Linked DNA regions of Xenopus tropicalis. The main gene of each other region encodes a partner of the protein of the gene in region 2 in a complex. Links are inferred from orthologs where the notes say so. Each region holds a gene or a part of one and is shown on either strand. Other genes may lie near its edges. The genes, in order: cep63 and cep152.

Region 1 (2,814 bases), on a different chromosome or scaffold from region 2:
CCCAAAAATGGTAGGAAAAAGCTTTCTTTGGCCTTAGGCTATGGACACATGAGCCTGAGTTTATACGTAGGCTAAGAAACAGTCCCATATGTCTGCAGCCTTATCCTTAGTTTAAACTTTCCATTATTAAAAAATAGCTTGAGAAAAGAATGTTTAATAGGCACCTATCATGGAAAAATTGTTGCATGATAAATTCTTGAGGATTTTGACAGATTAATTTAACACTGAGCTCAATATTACATATTCCACATCAGTGTTGAGATAGTAGACTCAGGTGTGTAAAATTCATTAAAAGCAGCCCTCTACTTGCTGAGTCTGACCACCATTGGTTTAATCACAGTAAGAAAAGGTACCACAATATCAGCACAGCTGCATGCCAGTTCACTGATATCCGGTGAATCTTCTTGCTGTACGCAAACTGCATACATACCATAACTACTGCAGTGCATACAAGACTGCCAAATGCAGCAGAATAATGTTGGCTTCTTGTGGATTCCAGACTTGCTGTGCTTTTAATGCCCGAACCCAACAGGTATATACAATAATAGTACAGAATAAACAATGGATGTGTTGCTACAAATACTGTTACAATTATAGCTTATTACTATAACATATAAAATCATCAACCAAATGATATTATACAGTCAGTGCTGCTCGAACAAACATAATGTAATAAACTGCATGACTCCTCTTTTCCTTGCTTTATCTTGGTACCCATTTTTTCTAACATAAAAAGCAAAATATGAGTGTTGCTGCTCCTTAGACAGAATAGCCACCTCCTTCCAACATGGCTTACCTATCCACTGCATTCTGGATTTCAGACTCTCTTCTCTGCATGATCAGCTCCAGTTTCTCCTGTGTCTGCAGCAGCTCCTTTTGCAGCCTCTGATTTGCCTGCTCCAAATTATTCAGTGTCTGTAATATTGAACAGGTGTATGAAAGAAAGAAAACAGAAAAGAAAAAATAAATGTAATATTAAAGAAAAAAACTACCTTTTTCTAAAAGAAAAACAATGAATGTATATAAAATATTTCATATGGGGAATATTATAAAGATTTAGGAAGGCTAAACCATATATATTAAAAATGAATTATATGTTCTCCGAAGCCTTCAATTGGTAGCCTATCCCAAGAAAAAACATTTTTCTATCCTCCTCATCTGAAAGTGTTCTATATCTAACAAAACTATGATATCTTAAGCTTCTTAAACAGGAGGGTTTTTTTTGCATTTATAAACGCATTCTGAAAGCATAAAAACCACATATTTTGCATTTATATGTGTTTTTTTAAAAGGAACATAAGTACATATTTTGTTAGTGTAAACACAACCCTCTATTCTATGGTCTTTTGAACATGCATTAATCGCAAGAATATGTGGAGTCTAAAAAAGAAAAAACATAGCCCTGACTGCTCATGAGCACAAGCAGGAAGAATATAAGGGAATCAATAAAAAAAAAAAACTTGCGTCTCAAACACATAAGAAAAAATGCAAAGCAGGAGAATGTTAATGGAAGCAAATTAAGGGAACTAGCATGAGAAAGTTAAGACAACATACATATGCACAATGTACAAAAACTGAGCAGCCTGGAGCTCACCCTGTTTTCTGCTGCCTCTCTCTCTGCTCTCTCCCGTTCAGCTCGAATTTTCCTTTCCCAGTCGATGCCTGCATTGGAAGCCATTCTGATATCTCTCGTGTGTAACTCCTGAGTGAGCTGTGAGATCTCCTTCCTCATCCCATCCAGCACACTCTTGTGGGTCAGCTCAGTCTGTGAGAGCTGGCCTTTCAGCTGCCGAGACACAAATGTTAATAACATATCTGCACGCCTCCAAAAGACCTTCAAAGGTCTTCTGCACCGCAGAATACAGAAAAATTAAATATATCAAGTTGCAAATGAAGCTCATCTATCCCTATGCAGCCCTGGAATTAAATATTAATCCTGCCCAGTCCCAGCAGTACTTTCCAGTCACCTTGGGTGTTGCCATGCTAACCATTTTTATAAAACAATTATGTATAGTCAGCGATATACCAGTTATTCCTAATAAGCACTAAAAAGGGTACTATTTATTGCATTATGCTTGCTTATCCAATTGCAATATATATTGCATTGTAAAAGGATTTTTATACTAGCTGCTGAATGCTTTTGTAAGTGGGACTTCCCAAATCAAAGGATTACCCTGTTATTGCACAAAAAGGGAGTTTGCACTAATTAACCTCATAGCTTAATAACAGCTAAGCATTATCTTTTTATTATGTTTGGTACATAATTACCATTTTTACAATCCTACTTGTTTTTACAAAAGCCGTGAAGGAGAAGATGGAGGAACGATGGTGACAGTCCTTCTCCTGCCTCTCTGATCAGTTTTCTGAAGGGACAGGACTGGCCTATTTTGAACTCCTGACACAATGAGAACTTCCTATATGCCTACATCATGTTTAGGCTTTGCCCTTACTTTTTTCCCATTGGACCAATTCATTGGTTGCTTGTGCATTCCAGTTCCATAAATTAAAAGGATATTGGTTAATTTCTCCCTTGCAAAGGCATAGGCCACATATCACAGATCTAACACACAGTTGTGTTAGAGTTGCAGCACTCTGTCACAGACACAGGAAGCAATGTCAGACTGACGGGAGACACAGTAAATAGAAGTTAAATCTGCTGCCAGTACTATGTGTGACATCATATAAAGAAGTAAAAAGGAGATTGTAGAGGATGATTCTGAGGAGAATCTCTCTTCAGCTGCACATTTTTTATTAACTATTTATATGACAAATATTCCATTAATGTGACCTGTTAAGATTTCTGAATGTTGTACA
Region 2 (4,475 bases):
ATAGTTTTGGAATGGCACAGCCAGAGCCCAGACCTAAATCCGATTGAAATCTGTGGGGTGATCTGAAGAGGGCTGTGCACAGGAGATGCCCTCGCAATCTGACAGACTTGGAGTGTTTCTGCAAAGAAGAGTGGGCAAATCTTGCCAAGTCAAAATGTGCCATGCTGATAGACTCATACCCAAAAAGACTGAGTGCTGTAATAAAATCAAAAGGTGCTTCAACAAAGTATTAGTTTAAGGGTGTGCACACTTATGCACCCACATTATTTTAGTTTTTTTGTTTTTCTTCCCTCCACCTAAAAGATTTCAGTTTGTTTTTCAATTGAGTGGTACAGTTTATAGGTCACATTAAAGGTGGAAAAATGTCAATAAAGACCAACTAGAGCAGCTGAACTTTATTTGGGGTTAATCAAAGGCACTTTAAATGATGGCAGGTGTATGATGATTCCTATTTAACATGATTTTGAATGTGATTGCTTAATTCTGAACACAGCTACAATCCCCAGTTAGAAGAGGGTGTGCACACTTATGCAACCACATTATTTGTTTTTTTGGTTTTCTTCCCTCCACCTAAAAGATTTCAGTTTGTTTTTCAATTGAGTGGTACAGTGTATAGGTAACATTAAAGGTGGAAAAAGTTCTCAAATGATTTATCTTTGTCTCATTTTTGTACAGCACAGGAACCTGACATTTTACCCGGGGTGTGTAGACTTTTTATATCCACTGTATATAGTTACTGTTAGCAGGGAGTGCGTATGGCTAGTCAGAAGGCCAAAGAAAACAGGATAAAGCCCTTAGGACCAAAGAGCAAACTTAAAACTAGAACAATCGAGTCTTCATAAAAAAATTAAAAAGAGCTATTCAAAATATTAAATATATATATATACACACAGACTTCAACTTACACATTTTATACTCTCTGGGACTTATTCCTAGGCATGTATTTATACGTTGTTCCCCTTTATGAAATGGTACTGGAGAGAATGCATAATGTAGGGTACCATAGAATATGTATGTATCTATATTTCTTAATAACATGTTTTAAATAAACGTTTTCAGTTTTTTACGAAGAATTTCTGACTTACAGACTATGATGGTTCCAACCATAAACACAGTTTACTAACTAGATACACGCATATTCCCACACACCCTGCCCCGTAAGAATCTGTTGGTCCTACGTTTCCTGAACACCTGTATGGACAATCCGTGTTTTTTTTTTTTTTTTACCGTCTAACCGTATAAAACACTGTGGTTTTAGGGGAATCGCCGTTGCCATGGCTACCCAGCCGCGGCGTGCCCCATTAGCACACGTTCATATCGCTTTTTTTTTTTTTTTTTTTTTTTTTTTTTTTTAAAGACGGCAGCTACGTAAAAACAAAACTCCCGGTATGTACCCCTTGGTCCAACCATTATGATTCATTATGACCAATTAAACGAGTCTCTCCTTATGCCAACAGTTACTAGGAGTGCGGTAATCCCGCCTCATATTGCTTCTCAGCCAATGGAACTCGCACGCAGGATTCCCGCTACCTCTCGCGCCACTAGCTCGCTTTCGCTGTTACTGGGATTGGTCAATTGGCAGCACGGCGCAGCCTATCAGGTTCATTTGTACGGGGTAGTCATTCATGCCGGGGCGGGTCTTGAACATACCACCAACCAGAAAGGCCTAACGACAAAGAGCTAGGAATTTCGCGTATGTGATTGGATAAAGATAATATCAATCTATTGCTCAGGGGCGAATTGGGTTTTCTGTGTCCCATTTTGACTGTTGAGAGGGAAGTCTGTTTATGTCCGGGATTTTGTGAAGTTGTAGAGTTGCTGATACGGAATTGTTGTTCCTGGAGCTGATGAAGAAGCTGGTGGCTTTAGCTGCCGGGGTGTAGGTGACTTGTTCTGGTAAGTTTTCACGTATTTACCAAGATGGAAGTTAGCACAACTGGATAGTAAGATAGGCTTTCTGCGTACACAGCACCCAAGATTCCCTTTCACATTCACAGGGACAGGTAGCAGCTTTCCATCAGACGAATTGGGTGTAGCCTTCCTCATTTATAGCCGATGTGAACCTGAAAATAAAAATGAATTTGTAATTCTAAGCAATTTTCCAATATACATTCATTACACCTTTTCAGTGATTTCAAAATTGTGTGCAAATACAATCGCTGAATGCAGCATTCATCACTTTCTGCCCTAATGGTTATGACTTCTGAAACTATGTAGCACATAGGACTGACTTCTGCTACATTGTTTCAAGGGACAACCCATATTACAGAAAGGTATAGAAACAATTATGCTCGTTATTAAGCATACATCTGCCTGCCTTGCATCTCATCCCCACGCCAAGGGTATTAATATGAAGTTGTTCCTTCCTGTTCTACTATTACAAGCTTTGCATTTCTTGGAAGGACTTCATTGTATTACGACATTGTTCTTGGGATGTGCTTCTATTAAGTCACAAGCATTAGAGAACTTGCACGGTCAGTCTCTGCTTTTAATTTGTGTTCTCATTTGTCCACAGTTGTCTGTTTTGTTTGTTCAGGGCACTATGTTAAGCTGGCCATACCCTGTAAGATCCGCTTGTTTGGCGAGGCAGCCAAATGAGCAGATCTTCCGATATGCCCACCTAAAGTGGGCGATATCTGGCTAATTCTCGTTTGGCCCTAGATCATTGTTTGGTCAAACGATTATATTAAACCGGCAGGCTCAGACGCCGCCGGACTGAGGACAGCATCAATGATCCAATGTGGTCCCCGTTCTGACAGAAAATCCAACCTTCCAGATCGAGATCTGGACAATTTTAGGCCAGATCTCATTCGGGTAGGCCCGTTGGGGGTGCCTATACACAGGAAGATAAGCTGCTGAATCGGTCTAAAGGACCCAAGTTGGCAGCTAAAATCTGCCTGTGTATGGCCACCTTAAGTTAGTCAGGTTCTTCCACTCCTATTTGAAAAACTGAAAATCATATACTGAGATTTTAAATTCCTAGACTGAAACATGGCAGTTGGCACAGGTTTCATTAGTGTCCACTGCCATATGCAAGGCTTGCTATTTAATTAATGTATTCACTTTTTTTTTTTATAGATATTTTATACCCTGTAAGGGTTTTGTGCATGCTTGATAATGTCTATCGATTTTGATAGTGGAGCACTGCAGATTCAGCAAGAGGATGAAGAGTATGATAAAGAGGATTATGCCCGGGAGCAAGAGGTGAGAAAGTGGTTCAGAATTAATTATAGTGTCTGGTGCAAAAGTGTGGTAAAGGACAAGCCACCTGTTGCTAGCTTTTCATTATTCTTTGTCTCCACTGCTCTCACCTTTTGTGTAAAAGCCACAGCAGAGATTAATTTACTATAACCATCTGTTTTGAATATTCCCTTGTGTACTTTGAAGGTCTTGTCTGTATATAGTAAAACTAAAGTCTGTCTTGTGATGTAAGCAGTAGAATCTTACTTGTTTAAACTATTTTACATTCTTTGTTTAAAGGGATCTATTATATGTTGATTGTGTGCAAATATTTTTTCACCACACTTTATATCAAACTACATTTATTTTAGTAGAAATACATGAATCGGTTTATTGCTGTATGACTTAAAGAAGTAGTTCACCATAAAATTAACTTCTAGTATGGTATCTATAAAGAAGCATATAAGGCATTTTGGGAATCCGCTTCTTAGGGTTCCATTTGTTTTCATTGTGGGGAAAAAAGTTTTGTTTGTTTGAGACATTATACATGTCATTAATTAACCCCTTCTTCTTCATTATCATTAAAAAAACCAGTGTTAAAAATCCACGCTATGCAGTAGTATATAAATAGTAGTGTGCAGCTAAAGCAAAATTCCAGTCTGGTTCTTTGTCTCCCCATTTGTGCAAAGTCAATAATGCCATTGTCTGTTTTGATTTAAAGCTGCAACAGTTGTTAACAGATCTTCCCCATGACATGCTTGATGACAGCCTTTCCTCATCACCAGAACCAAGCTATAGTGATTGCAGCGGCCATGAAGTTTCAGAACAGTAAGTGACAGGAATCCTTACAGTTAGATGACCCTTTAGTTGCCTTATTGGACATTGATGTCAATGCTGCCATTTTTTTTATATGCATTGGGTCAGTTATTCTTGTACGACATGGAAGGAAAGAAATTATATCAAATTATATCAAATGATGTCTTGTGAAGGAGCCATAGAAATCCCTTGCAGGCAGGCAACAGTTTGACAGCCCTTATGTAGGACATACTTTTAAAGGAGACCTATAACATAAGTAATACCCCCTAATCTTGTAGGCAGTAAATAATAATAATAATATGGGCTAAAATTATCATTTTCTCTAAAAATGACCCCTTTTATTGAAGCCCTCTTATACTTCCCCCTGGTCCCTGTCCAAATTTAAATAAAGGGTGGGTGTGTTCTAACAGCCCCTGCCAGAAGTGCAGTAGGAGTTGGATAACCAATCACAGCCCTACAGTCCCACAAGCAAAGACAGG

The links.
Region 1: the proteins of cep152 (region 2) and cep63 are in contact, whole or in part, in a crystal structure (PDB 6CSU), measured with the Homo sapiens proteins. The link is inferred for Xenopus tropicalis from reciprocal best matches to the Homo sapiens genes CEP152 and CEP63. Residues at the interface, in NP_001181927.1 of Homo sapiens: Gly1261, Ala1262, Glu1265, Leu1266, Gln1269, Tyr1270, Lys1272, Ala1273, Lys1276, Ile1277, Asp1280, Met1281, Tyr1284, Glu1287, Ser1288, Arg1291, Ala1292, Met1295, Ala1298, Arg1302; in NP_001340037.1 of Homo sapiens: Phe666, Glu669, Glu670, Arg673, Ile677, Arg680, Leu681, His684, Glu687, Leu688, Glu691, Ser692, Thr695, Phe699.

What each region holds. Positions count from the first base shown.
Region 1 is NC_030681.2:130,333,446-130,336,259, reverse strand, and holds part of cep63 (centrosomal protein of 63 kDa), read right to left. Parts: intron 1,787-2,814; coding exon 1,595-1,786; intron 916-1,594; coding exon 797-915; intron 1-796. UniProt on the Homo sapiens protein: Required for normal spindle assembly.
Region 2 is NC_030679.2:103,988,923-103,993,397, reverse strand, and holds the start of cep152 (centrosomal protein of 152 kDa), read left to right. Parts: upstream 1-1,665; 5' UTR 1,666-1,896; intron 1,897-3,078; 5' UTR 3,079-3,117; coding exon 3,118-3,204; intron 3,205-3,901; coding exon 3,902-4,008; intron 4,009-4,475. UniProt on the Homo sapiens protein: Necessary for centrosome duplication; the function also seems to involve CEP63, CDK5RAP2 and WDR62 through a stepwise assembled complex at the centrosome that recruits CDK2 required for centriole duplication.